2 linked regions of the Styela clava genome follow. The protein of the gene in region 2 purifies or fractionates together with the protein of the main gene of each other region. This does not show direct contact. Links are inferred from orthologs where the notes say so. Each region holds a gene or a part of one and is shown on either strand. Other genes may lie near its edges.

What was found. The genes of interacting proteins can lie anywhere in the genome.
Region 1: the proteins of inositol polyphosphate 5-phosphatase K-like (region 2) and trifunctional purine biosynthetic protein adenosine-3-like purify together in Homo sapiens (co-immunoprecipitation; 3 studies listed by BioGRID and IntAct, counting the BioPlex papers as one, with this or other methods). This does not show direct contact. The link is inferred for Styela clava from reciprocal best matches to the Homo sapiens genes INPP5K and GART.

Annotation. Positions count from the first base shown.
Region 1 is NC_135252.1:10,861,792-10,868,774, forward strand, and holds the start of trifunctional purine biosynthetic protein adenosine-3-like, read right to left. Parts: upstream 3,010-6,983; 5' UTR 1,075-3,009; coding exon 1-1,074. UniProt on the Homo sapiens protein: Trifunctional enzyme that catalyzes three distinct reactions as part of the 'de novo' inosine monophosphate biosynthetic pathway.
Region 2 is NC_135252.1:22,907,855-22,915,798, forward strand, and holds the start of inositol polyphosphate 5-phosphatase K-like, read right to left. Parts: upstream 3,006-7,944; 5' UTR 2,567-3,005; coding exon 2,541-2,566; intron 1,362-2,540; coding exon 1,257-1,361; intron 886-1,256; coding exon 777-885; intron 1-776. UniProt on the Homo sapiens protein: Inositol 5-phosphatase which acts on inositol 1,4,5-trisphosphate, inositol 1,3,4,5-tetrakisphosphate, phosphatidylinositol 4,5-bisphosphate and phosphatidylinositol 3,4,5-trisphosphate.

The sequences.
Region 1 (6,983 bases), about 12 Mb from region 2:
TCCAGGGTAACCTGAGCTAGCCAGGACGATACAAACAGATTTTGTGTTTTTCCAGCAAATATGAGAAGAGTTGAGGGATCCTTTGCAACACTGTGTGAAAATCTCATATAAATCAGAATCTAATAATGACATGAGAACTTGACACTCTGGGTCTCCAAATCTACAATTAAATTCTAACACCTTTGGTCCATCCTTTGTGAGCATGATACCAGCATATAAAACTCCAACATATTTTTTACCTTCATTCTTCATACCATTAACTGCTACTTGCAAAACATGATTCGTTATATATTCGACCACTTTATGATCTATTTGAGGACATGGGCCATAGGCACCCATCCCTCCAGTATTTGGACCTTTATCGCCATCATACACCTGTTTGTGATCTTGTATTGGTGGCATCACAGCAATAGTGTCACCATCTGTAAAGCAAAGCAATGAGAATTCTTCACCATAAAGCCGTTCCTCCACAACCAAAGTATCACCAGATGAACCAAACAAGTTTTGTTCAAAAATATCCTTTACAGCTTTACAAGCTTCAGTAGCAGTTTCACATACCACGACACCTTTGCCTGCTGCAAGTCCACTTGCCTTCACAACCAACGCATCATAATTCGCTGTATTTATATGAGCAATGGCTGAATCAGCATCTTTAAAACTTTTAAATTGTGCGGTTGGAATGCCATTTCTCACCATGAATTCTTTGGCATATTCTTTACTGGCTTCCAGAGCAGCAGCAGAAGAGGTTGGCCCAAAACATCTCACACCGTTTTTTGCTAGTACATCACATATTCCATCTGCCAGTGGTACTTCGGGACCAACAACAACAAGGCTAATTTCATTCAGTTTGCACCACAAACTGAGACTTTCATAATTGTCTGATGGAACATCAATGACATTCATTACTTTTTGGTATTTCTTAGCATGTTCCGACATTTCGTTTTCCACAATGTTGTTATCAGTTCCTCCATTTCCTGGGCTCACCAAAACGGACTTAACAAGAGGTGACTGTGACAGCTTCCATGCTAGTGCATGTTCTCTTCCCCCAGAACCAATTATCAAAATTCTTGCCATTCTTACGGTTTCTTATACCGTTTTCCTATCTTATTTTTTGCAGACCTGAATTTCAGAATTGCGAGATTAAAAATCATTAATTAAGTATCCTATATAGCCTAGGAGACTCTTATTTTACAGTCTTATTCACATACTCAGTAGATTAATTTAAATCAATTCAAGTTAAGCCATTAAGCACAGTCAGACAGTGGGTAAATTCGGGATTGTAAATGACGGGCAACACTGGGCGATGAGATACAGTATCTACCAAAGTTACCCCAGCCCACACTCACCCTGCGGTCAACGGGTTAACCCACTATTTTACTCACTTTATAAACCTTATTTCATGAAAACTATTTGCCCTGATAATATATAGCCCATACTGCCATAGCTGATATATTCCACGCAAATGCAATACCAAGCTCAGCCTACAGGCCTAGTTACACCTAACATGGCCTAACAAAAACGATTGTGGGCTGGCATCCCATGACTGTGGGGCTGGCGTTCTGATGTTATAAAGTGAGTAAAATAGTTAGTTAACCCGTTGACTGCCGGTGTAGGCTGGGGTAACTTTGGTCGGTATCTTTACATCTTGGTTACTTTTAAATAATTACATTAATTTTTTCAATAAACTATGATTGTATGAAAGATAACGATGATTCTAGTATTTTAAAGGAGCTAGGTACGGTATCGTGCAAGTTTTCTGAATCTTCAATCAGTACTGCAGTATATCATAATCAATCAATCAATCAATTTTATTCGATCACTCTGATACAAACAAAACACAAAACAACAACAAAGGGACAAACAAAATACAGAGGACCTGGAGGACGGGCATAACTTAATAAAAAAGTTAAATACGTACAAGTACGTGCCCGTCCCCCAAAAACAGGCAAAACACAATAAAACAAAAACATGATGTGACATCGGGCAATATCTTATAAATTCAAATTAAAATGTGAGACGTGTATGTGCTTTTCCTATACAGATATATGGATTAAAGAACACTCGCTGACGAAAAATGGTGATGTTGTGGGTCTACTTCAATTATATTGCAAAAATAACACAGTGACAAATTTTTTTTTACTAAAAAACAAGCTTGGTAAATGGATTGAATGTTCCATAGCAGTCTATGCACAAATCATGAATTGGGGTATTGGGTTCTTTTGTCGTTTTCGGTTAGTTCACTTTAAAATCATTGTATCCGTTCCAATGCTTCCAACATTAATATCGAATTTCCACGAACGACCACCATTCAGCCATTCCAACAGGTGCAGTGATCCCATCTTTTCTATGCTCTGTTCCATCATACACGACTAGATTCATAAAAGGATCGTCCACCATTTAACTTTAAATCCAATCTTTTATCCATAAACTTCTCTTATTTTAGTGGATGGGCTTTGCTCATGTTGATATTGCGCGATACAGATTACAGATACCGAAACATACAACGCGTAGCATTCACTAGTCTTTTCAAGCTGACACGTCTGCACCCGACGAAGGTCGGAACGGAACTCGAATGGAATAAATATAAACACATGTTACTTTTAAATAATTACACTAATTTTTTCATTAATCATTAAACTATGAAGGATAACGATGATTCTAGCATTTTAAATGGAGCTAAGTATCCTGCAAGTTTTCTGAATCTTCCATCAGTACCGTACTGCAGTAGGCTATATCTTGGATATAAACGCACCTACACTCATGACTCAAGACACTGTCAGCGCGTAGGCGGCACACTAATACTCCGAACCGTGGTCATTTACTACGGTACCGTACGGTAGCTCCTACCGGTACGTAAATTACAACAGAAATATCTAAATATTTCCACAATCTTACCAGATATAGTCTGGCGGTACTGATGTCTGCAGACTTTTAAGTATATTATATATACTTACCCTATATTTATTTGCAATACATCGTACCGTAATGTCTGAATGTAACAACATCCTGGCATCTAAATAAAATATCAACAACAAGGCTACACACGTGGTTTCAGTGATAGTGGTTGTGGGGGTCTCCCTAACACCGGGCGCTTGCGAATTCAGGCACTTTGATATTTTATTTTTACCGTACGTCATTGGGGTTTCCAATTTATTGGACACGTGAGTGGACCTATGGATCGTTTTTGATATTATGTTGTTGTTCTTGTTGATATTCTTCTCTTTCGTCGAGATGAAATCGCTTTTCTCTTCGAATACTGGACCAATTGCTCTGATAATTACCTGTAAGAATAAAATGATCAAGGTATTTGAGAATCAAAACAGTTTTGAGGGTAACGAAGCATGGATCTTTCCCCGAGCATCTACTTTCTTGTTTACTTTATGACATTGGCCAATCAGCAAAATGCAAAAAGTGATGTAACAATGCTCTGTTTTCGCATCCGCTCAGACACTTTTCTCACTCAGAGCATAGATGCATTGTCTCTGCCCAGACAGATTACCTCGTTTTTGGGTTTTTGAACTCTATTCGTTAGTTTTCAGTTGTGTTTCGGAAATTTAAATATAAATCAGATAATTCAATGACCACTCTGTCTTCTTATGAGTTTTAATTTAATTGCAATAATAAAAAATTAGTGTAGAATTAGCTGTGATAGACTGGTCTAAAATTCTTCACCGGTACTTTTAGAAAACAGACTGTTGTATGCGATGAATCATAATGATGGTTTGAAACACATACCCTATTTTACAGGCACCAACTCGCGAAACCACTCTTAAAATATGCCCCAGAAATTTCGCAATGGAAGATTTTTTTCAGAAGTCAAAGGTCGGGCAATGGTTCATTAATAAATAAAGCTGAGGAATTTGTTTGTTCACTGTACGGAGTAAATATGAACAACCTAAATGATACCAGGGCACGTCACTCCAAAACTTGCAAATATATGGATTAAACTCTTCCACCCAACAATGATTCACTCTAAAGAAGCATATTCTGAAGGATGAGGATTTCGGAAGCAATTCAGAGGAAAGTGAATTATATTGAAGTCAATTTAATGAATATTTTTAATCAATTTTTCTCAAACATCTGGTAGTTTCGAAAGTCCTATTTCCCATAAATAATATTGACTTTGTATCAAATACACAGCCACATAAACTGAAAAAAGACTAATTTCTGTTTACGACTTTTTTGTGTAAATTTTTCAGTGAGAAATAGCCGATTTATTTGTGTTTTTGTGCTCACGATGTTAATTTGTGACTTCATTGCATAAAAATAAATGCGTTTGATAGCTTCTATAAAATGAATGCAACTTCTTACGCTGTTTTTGTAGTAAACTGATTTTGGTCAGTCGAAACGTTTCAGAAATACATTTGTGTTAGTGCGCTGCAGGACTTTTGAATTGCGTAATTCTTATGCTGTGTTGTTGTAAAGCTATGGAAATTGATTTTCTGAGAATCCCTCAAATGCAATTTTGCATTTTCATTTAAACCGATTTACTTGTGTTTTTGTGCGCGCAAAGTTAATTTGTGACTTCATCGCATAAAATTGATGCGTTTGATGGAGTCTATAAAATGAATGCAATTCTTCATGCTGTGTCGTTGTAAACCTATGGTTATTAATTTTGGGGAAATCTCCTTAAATCGAGTTTTTCATCAGGGTTTTAGAAGCATGTTTTACAGAAAATGTGTAACTTTCGTTAGTGGGAACAAGCTGTAGTGCGTTCAATATATTCATTCTCATACAAAACTAAAGAACTCATATAGTTTCCAGATGGGCGCTACGAAACTCACTTTTTAGGCGTTTTTCAGGGCCTCGTCTCACGGCCTAAAATGTATGAAAATATTTTATATAATCGAATCAATTAAAAAAAAAACGCGTGCTATGAGGGTGTTCTAGTTAGATTTCAAAAATAAATATTATTCTACTGAACTAGTAATAGCTAGGCTTAAGGAAATGATAATTTATATAGCAGTACAAACAAGAAGATCACCTGCGCGATTCTTTTGGTCCTCGCTGCAGCGTTCGATATGGTTCATCACTCAATGGTATAAGAGGCAAATCACTTAACCTCATGGCGTCACACTTAAGCGGGCGTCAGAAATGTGTTCTGAATGGGGTATATATTCATGAAATGGGCTTTACTAAATGCGGAGTTCTACAGGGTTACACAATTGGTCCTCTGCTATTTTCATGTTATTAAATTATCTACCAGTTGCATCTTCCTTATTCAACGCTATTTGCTGATGATACTTCCCCGTTAAAATCTACGTCATGTTTGTCCTAACTTGAGATCGTAGTGAATACTGAAATACAAAATGTTGATATTTGGCTAAAGGAAAATATATAAATTATCTTTAAATTACTCTAAAACAAAGGCTCTTCTGTAATAAGGGAAAAGATATTACCCACTTCAAACTTTTTTAGGCAGTAAAAAAATTGGGCGAACCAATAGTATAAAATATTTGTGGGTCACCATCAATGATAATCTAAGCTGAAACTGCATATTAACTAGCCAGGAAGCTATCGCAAACCGTTGGTATTTTTTATGAACTAACTAAACACATCTTGAATTCTGAAACGCTTAAAGTAATTCATTATAGTTTATTTCACTCACGATTGCAATATGGAATTATTAGTTGGGAATCAGCAGCTAAGTCTTCATTGTAGCTAATTCAAGATGATAAAAGAGATGTGCATAAATAAATATTGTCAGACTAATAAAAAATTGCCTAAGTCAAATTTTCACATTTTAAGTGAAAAACTTTTTTTCTTCGAATTTAGGTAACCACGTCCATCGCTCCAAACTATGATATGCTTCAGCTCGGGATTATTACAAATGATTCGCTTAAAATGCTCAAACTGCAAGTAAGTAAATACTTCACTAGAAAGTTTGCCTTCAGTTTCATTCCAGACGTAACAGTAACCTGCTTTTGATTTTGTATCATATAGTGTGAAATTGTGTACCTATAGCTTAGTTCTGTATTATGAGGTACTAGCTCTCGTTCTAGAACATAAAAGCACGGCCTGTAGATCCATCGTCCAAACGGATTTTTTTGCACTTGCAGAATCTTTGTCGGTTATCGTTTTTTTCATAGCATCATCCTTCAGTTTGATATGCAAGCTATACTCAACTGTACTCATGTTACCATGTTTGTAACCTACACACTTATCAGATTATCGAGACTTACATCAATATCTAGTAGTTCGTGAAACGGTAAATAGCCACTTTTACTATATAAATATGCATCGGAATTCTCCTTGCAGCCATCGAGCTGAAGCTCTATAAAACCCTCCCAACTTCATTCACCTCATCTGTGAAAATTAAATACGGAAACATGTGAAGATCGCTCACTACTATCGCCGTATAAATTCGCATTTTTTGGCGTTCAAAAACTTGTCACGTGTGCCACTATCATTTGCAGAAGCATTTCCAAGTAGAGCATAGTTTCTCAGCTTCCTGGACTTCATACCGTTAGTACTCGATCACTACAATTACTTGCCGGTAGCGTCCAGATGTTGAAATATATATGTCAGTACACCCTATTTAACCAGAAAGCACTGCTCGTCAAAGAGTGTCGTAACGATGCCAGAACGTACCAAACCTAGATGAGGACAAGCGTGTTTAAATGTGCCTATCTCAATAATAGTTCCGGTTAGCGCTGGTCAGTTACGGCTTCCTCCACTGTTGGCGTAGTAATGGACGATGTCTTGGTTCACGGACGAAACCAAGAGGAACATGACAAAAGACTTGACGCTGTTTTGAAAAAGATAGCAAAAGCAGGTCTTGCGTTAAACGACAAATGTCAGTTTTCCCTCCGAAAATTAAAGTTTCTTGGTTTTATGATAGATGCAGAAGGTGTGGAGGACCCTCAAAAGGTCATGGCTCTTTCCAAAATGCCAGCTCCCACAAATGTTTCCGAACTGAGACCCTGAAACAGAAAAATTCTAAAGGACAATGGAAACCTGTGGCGTTTGCTTCGCGCGCTATG
Region 2 (7,944 bases):
GGGGACTGACAAAATGTTTGACTAATTTTCTGTATTTCTAGCGACTGCCCTGTATATTCTTGATTATGCAATAATGATTAATTTCATAATGAGTAATGTTCAACAACAAAATTTGTTTTATTAATCATTGCAACATCATTAAATCTAAATTTTATAATTGAGTAGTTAAGATAAATATTGTTTTGATTGATTTTTCATTTTACAAAGTCAGAAGTTAAGTCAATTCTTTTTTTTTGTCTGATGTTTATTGAGATACCGGTAGATGTTATTTTGACTTACAACTTTATTCAACACCGTTAGAAGTTGGCCTAACTTTTACTTTTCTCTGATGTCCGATATCAAATTGTCAAAATGATAAATTTCAAAATAAATTATTCTAATCTACCTTATATCTAAAATGAAATATTTACAATATCAAATATAACCACTATTGAATGCATTTAATTTTCTATCTGTCTTGGATATCCGTGGAGGAGAATGAGCTCGCCATCAATCTACTGATTACCATGCATGGGTTTGGCAATTGAATCAGGGACCATGGTTCCCCATAAATTAACCCTTCCTTTTCAGAGAGAGGAAGAGAGTTTATTTCATTTGCCAAACCATAAAACACACAATATATGCAAACATTTATAAATAATAAATAGACAGATGCTTTGGTGTGTGACTGAGTTGCAACGATATGACCTTTTGGGTTCATCAGAGTCTGAATTAGTTTGTTGTTCACTTTTAACAGCTCTTCTCTCCCTAGGGTAAATTTTAAAAATCTATATTACCAAATAGAAACTTTTCTTTGACAGAAATTCCATGACAGCTTGAGCCCAGTCATCGTATTTGATGAAACTTTTCGCAGTTTCTTTCGCCCCAGTTTTGATTTCTTGAAACCTGGAAAAAATATTGATATAATTTTAAATTTTTATTATTTCCCTAAAACATGTGAGATAATTTACCACAACCAAACTTTTGAACACCCTGGCGCTTTTTCCCTTCTGAAGTTAATATAGAAAAATCCTTTTTTCACATTTTAAATGCAGGGGTCACAACCTGCAGAAACCCCAACTGGGTACTCCCTACTCACCTTCATCACCTTACCGAGGGCTTGAACAGAAAGTTATTCAAAGCAAAAGTCGTAACAGCACATCACAACTAAAAAAAACTACTAGGACCTTATATTTTAGACAGGTATTGCTAGTAAAAAGGTTCCTGCAATAACATGAAAACCTTGTTATGAAACTAAAAACATAACAGCTATTCACCCGATGGCATAGAAATCAACTTCAACATTTGATTTCAATAATTTTTCAATATCTTTCTCATCCAATGGATCAGCTTCCCCTACGTTCCATGTGCTGACGAATATTCTGGAATATATTTAACAAGGTGAAAATAACTATCTTTATGATAGAGAATAGAGATAGCCTCCCTGTGCTGGGAATTAGATAATATGCAGGATTTATTTATTTCTCCCATGAAAGAAAGTACATAAGACATCTATCAGTTTACTGCAGATAGTAGACTATTATTTTTGTATTTTCATTATTATATTGGGAGAACGGGAAAGCTAATAAGACAGCTTAATGATATGGCATATCACAGCCACAATGGAAATAGATTAAAATAAAATTTTTCGGGATGCGTAAACCTGATGTTTAACAATTAATACAACAGTGCAATAATTCTGATAAGATCAGTTTTTAATATATCCGCATGTTCCCCTTACAAAATTATACAAGCCTGTGTCCGGCAGTGTTATAATCAATGCCATGTAAAGATATAGGCTAATATAGTAATAATATCTGTATATGACGAAATGGACAATTAATTAAATACAAGGAGCAGTTTTGAGTTGAGTTAACCGAGATCGAGGAATAGGTAATTAAAATTTAAATGATATAATATTTTGGGTTGAACCCATTTGAACCCATGTGTATATCCGCGGGTTCAATCTATATGTGGGTGCTAAAATCCATGGGTTAGGGTTAGTATGGGTTCAAATATTCGTAAAACAAAATTTTTTTCTATAGGTGCAATAGTACGTAGGTTCAAATGTAATGGAACCAATATTTTGCTGTTCTGTTATTAACCATTTCAGCATTTTTTGGCTTCCCTTTTCTAGTTTCTGAGTTTCCTGTGATTTATATAAGAATTCTTAGCTTGAGTATTTTAAAAGTAAACAACAGCCAGAAAGTTTATTACATTCACATATTTTTTGTGTATTTTTGTATTTATTTCTGGCCCAAGCCTTGTTTAACAAAGTTTGAGTTTTTTATTTGTGAATGCTGTTGGTGAGCGGGCAAATGATACGAATCTTGTTTTAAACTTTTTTAAAGGTTTTGCTCGCACTCCAGAATTCTCCATTCTTTATTTGTTTGTACCATTGTCAGATTGTGGAGTTTTCAAAGTAAACTATCTATCTAATTCTGACATTCTACACCTTCATTATAAATGAATCAATGTCGTTAATAGTCTACACCAGTTCTGACAAGTACGGTACGGGACTCATGGTAAGATCTTATAATCAGTCATATAAAAAAACCTACCTGAATTTCTTAAACTGATCCGCCATTATTCCATTAACGTTCTCTTCCACTTCCTTGTCTGTTGACCAGTGGATAGCACCGAAGGCAGCCAGCAACACAACCAAAATCGCAACCCAAAAACTCGACGTTTTTACTTTTTTTCGTTGCAATTAAAACAAAAACTGTTTTAATCAATTCTGAAATCAGAGAAAATAGCGAACAACAGAACAAATCGTCGAACCCAAGTCCTTGCAGAAATTGCGAAACCGCAAAATGTAAACAAAGCGTTCGCCAGCCAGCCAGCTGTACGAGACTTATTCAGCCGTGCAACTGTCAACTTGATAGACTTCCTCCAGATTTTTTCGTTATATTCCGATTTAGCTTATTCCAAAACTCTTCACACCAGCTCGGTGTGAATATAAATTCTGTTTGAGTTTGTACATTTTAAAAACACTTGCACCATTACATAATAAAAACCAAATAACTAAATTTACATAGGAACGTCCAAACCATATCAAAGGTTTGCAATGTTTGTGGCGAGGACTCTGAACACACGTTTGATACACAAGTATCCTGTTCAATTCGGGCACATCGATACGACACACGTCTTACCAAAGGACTCGAAAGGAAATCACCGATCATTGTCAAATTTGTACGTCGAAGCGTTAAATGCCAAATTTATTCTGCCCCAAAAGGACTCCGCGGAACCCGCCTTTCCATCACCGAATCTCTTCCCGAACGACGCCGCATCTTGTTGACTGAAGCCCAACGACTATCTTTCGGCAATTTGGATTGTAGTACAGCCGTTACATAGTCTATTAGAAAGCATTGATGACCAGAAAAAATAATACTGATGTTCTATCATGCCATGGTTGTAGTAAAATTGTAAAAGATAATGAATAGCCTACAGTATTTTTTGCGACCACTGTTCACACTGGATTCATTTGAAATGCAGTGGTTCATCCCAAAATGAGTACAAGAAATTGGAAAAAGAACCCTATTGTGTTCCATGGTGCTGTAGACCAGGGTTTCTCAAACTTTTGGTGTTACGGAGCCGTTGAAGAAGTTGATTATTATTCACGGAGCCCACAATAAATTTTAAAAATAAAACAACACATTGTTACTTGACGATTAATGTTCATGGGTAAGTTGAAATTACTTTAGGATAGGATAGGATAAGATCTACATATTTATCCCGGGGAAGAGGAAAGCCGATAAGACGGCTTATCCATATGGCGAACCACGGCCTCTCGTCCGGTTACCATTCCAAGTCGGGTATGGGATTAGATTTACTGTATTGTTTGTTTTCGGGAGCATGGACTTGGTGGTGGAGGAAGCCGTAACTGACCAGCGGTTACGTGAACCACCCAACGACGGCGAGGAATCCAGCAATCCTCTCGCACATAACCATTCCTGCATGGGATTCGAACCTGCGAACCCACGCAGAGTAGTTAGAGGTGCGGTGGCGAGCGTATTCCTAACGCTTAGCCCGTTGAGCCACACCGCCGCGCCCCACTTTAGCCCTACTACCGCTACCTACTTTACCCAATTCAAAAGCTAAACCTTTTATAATATATTATATACCATAAATAAAAGCCACAAATGATGCTAAATTTCACAAATAAATTTCATATATATATATATGTATTGAGATGTGCTGTCTTGTCCATTAGGGAAAATAAGCACGTGCTTAGGGAGCAAAGGAAAATGGGGCACCACAGAAATTTTAAACCTCCTGAACTCAGGTTGTGTACCAGGTTAGGGTTCAAGTTATGCGACATCTTGGTGCGCATGCTTCAGGAGGTCCAAAATTTTAATATACAGACCGCAATGAATGCACTTATAATACAATGGAAGATTAATTGACCACGGCCTTCACATTGATTACAGCCTTCAAAAATTTCATCTGAATCATGAGAACTATTGTCACGGATTTTATTATCCGTGTGTTTTAGTTTAGTTTGTCTTTTTATATTTGCCTATATGCTTTTTCGAGGACCCTTAATTTGGATATACTTCATCCGGGTCCGGTTATTGTGAGACTCCAATCACCCTCGAGTTGTTAGAAAAAGAGTTTCACGCTCTTCTTTTCCGGCTGCCGCGCTGGCAGGCGGGCGTGTTTTCTGTATTCTGTGTTTTTTGCTGTTTTAAGTGTTTTAAACACGAAGTTGTCGCCATAATAAACCACAAATCCGGAATCTGAGTCTTCTGATTCAATACACTGTAGAAACATCTACTAACCGTTACACTATGACGCGTGACCTCGACGTAGTATCAGAATGAATAGAAAGGTGCATAACACGCGCAATTTGCTACATTTCATCTTTAATGACTGGGGTAGCATGTTTCACATGTCGTGGGATTCTTCGGACAAAATTTACGGTGTTTTTCATTTTTTAGTGTGTACGATATCGTTTCAATCTATAAAAGGGCATAACGCATCGCCAATTTTTATCTGAGATGTTTTATAAATTCAGAAAAGTAAACCAGAGATACGACGGCTAGTTAGCACAAGAGACAGAAAGATTAAATTAGTATTCCTCCACTGACAGTCAGAAATTTGGTTTGCACATTCACTAATTTGAATTATCTTAGCATTTTCCTTAAAAACTAAACTAAAATGAACAACTGTTTTAAAACGGGATATTCACGCATTCAACAGTTGAAGCAGCGCACACGATAGTCTCAGATAAACGCTTTCAATCGAGGTACGAATGAACATGATTCGAATAAATGTAAATTGGGAGCTCGCGAAATATGTGCACCAAGATGGCGCACAACCTTAACATAGTATGTGTACCAGATTAACTTTCAGGTTGTGCGCCATCATTCTGTAGGCGATTAGCCTCGTCACAGGCTGTCAAGTGTGACGTCGTTAATCAAGTAAGATTTTAATCCACCCTATTCTCAACAGCAGCTGTAGCTCAGGGGAAGCGTTCAGACATGATCAAACATTAGGATCGTGGTTCGAACCCCACATGGTGGAGTGAGTTGTAGGGGTAGACCATCAAACAAGGCAGACGGTCGAGGGAGAAAGAGGCAGGCGAGAGCAGCAGCAAAAGAAAAAATCGAGGCGAAAGATATCAAGACGAGAGCAGTTCAGGGGGGGGGGGGGAGAAAGGTCAGGCGAGCAGATTTCAGGCGAGAGCCAGGAAAAATAAATAGGAGTAAGTAAATCGATCAGCGGGATGGCCAAACGGTCAGTGTGGAGTAAAAATGGAGACAAGGCCGAGCAGTTGAGGAGAGGTCAGTGTGGAGTTTAATAATGGAGACAAGGCGAGGTCAGGCGAGAGCAGCAGCCGAGGAGAGCAAGATGAAAAGAAAAAAAAAATCCGCCATAAGGGCGGATGCAAATAGGGAGAATTGTTACGTCACTTTTTGCATCTTGCTGATAAAATTAATCAGCGGGATGTCCAAGCCATAAGGGCGGATGCAAAAAGGGAGAATTGTTACGTCACTTTTTGCATCTTGCTGATTGGCCAATGTCACGAAGTAAACAAAGATGCTCAGGGAAAGGTCCATTATCTTTGAATGACCTTTCTATCTCTGTCCTCTGATCTCATTGACGACCAGGATGAAATAGCCTCGGGACTATGCGATTGTCAATATATAAGTGCAAACGATATTGAAGAGATTTGTCCAAGCTTAAAGCGAAACAGTTATCTTTTCACAATGTGCGCAAATATGCGTTCGCTTTCTAACCCAAAAAAATTTGCCAAACTGAAAGTTTTGTTAGAATCAATGACTAGTCGACCCGATAAAATTGCGGTTAACGAAACTTGGCTTAGACCCGACCAAGTTGGCGCACATATAAGTTTACGTGATTACAGATTCATTTCTCAAATGCGAGAATAAACCCTAAGTGTGGTGGAGTAGGCTTGTATATTAGAGATGGTATTACCTTCAAAACCAGACCGGAATTGTCCATAATGAAAGAGAAAACGTTCGAATCATTATTTGTCGACGTTTATCTCAGAGACCGAATTGTAACTTGTGGTACTGTTTACCTATCCCCACTGTCTGATAAGTCGAGAAATAAAGATTTTTTAATCTCATGAACACTGTTTTGTCCTCACTATCAAGACACAGTATACTAATGGGTGATCTTAGTTACGACCTGATGGACTACTCGCACCGTTTCGTCAACGAATTGACTGGGTTGATGAACCTATTTTTCTCCCACTATAAACGAACCGACCAGAATAACTGAAAACAGCGCGACAATTCTTGATCATATAATATATGGACAAACATATACGATCGAAAACCTGTCAGTGCTATTCCAACCGATGCAATCTCTGATCAACTACCTGTAATAGCCATGTGACCGATAGGACAAAAAAAACACTTAAAAACGAAGAAAAACAGTTTTTCTCGATCATTTAATTCGGCCAATATGACTAATTTTAGTGGTTCCATTACATTTGAACCCATGACAATTGCACCTGCATACTATTGCACCTATGGAATTTTTTTTTGTTTCACGGATATTCGTTCGAACCCATACTAACCCTAACCCATGGGTTTTAGCACCCGCATATAGATTGAACCCGCGGATATACACATGGGTTCAAATGTACGTGAGTTCAAATGTACGGTCACCAATTTTAGTACGTCATTAGAATGTATCGATTTCTCTGTAGTGTGTGAAGAATCAGACCCGGACGATGCCGTTAGAAAATATTCTTGCAATGTTATGCCAGTTTATAATCGTTGTTTTGCTCAGATTTTGATCAAAAAATCTAACAAAAAGTGGTTTGATAAAGAATGAACAAAACTTCATAAGAAAAACAAAAACTGTACAAATCAACTCTCATAAACAAATTGCACTATTCTAGGAAATCAAGAAAACGTACGAAAAATGATATTGGCCAAAAACCATTCTTACTACAGATTGCTCTTGAGTAAAACTAAAAACGATCTGAAAAAATCATGGCAAACAATGGATACCTTGCTAGAGTGATGCAAATCTAAACAGTGGTAAGATTAAAATTTTTTGTCAGCCGGTTCCTTCACAAAAGTTTTATTTTTCAGTCGGTTCTGTTACAAACAGAACATTGACAGTAACTCAGTCACGCTAACCGGTTCGCTGATCTCATAAAATTTCGAGAGACGGTTCTATAGAACCACTGAATCTAAACTGTCGGAAGTATTTGTTGTAGGAAATAAGGAAACGTGTGATCCTGTATGGATAGCTGATAGTTTCAATGAACATTTTTCTACGATAGAGAAGCGAATGGCTGATAAATTTACTCATGATAATGACGGTAACTTCATGGACAAATCTAGTAACTCTTCAATGTTTCTGTCACCGGTGACAGCCACAGAAATCAGAGCAATGCCATGAAACTTATAATCTTTCCTTGCAATTGTGACAATTTATTGATGTATTTAAAATCGCTAAAGTAGTACCGCTTCATAAGGG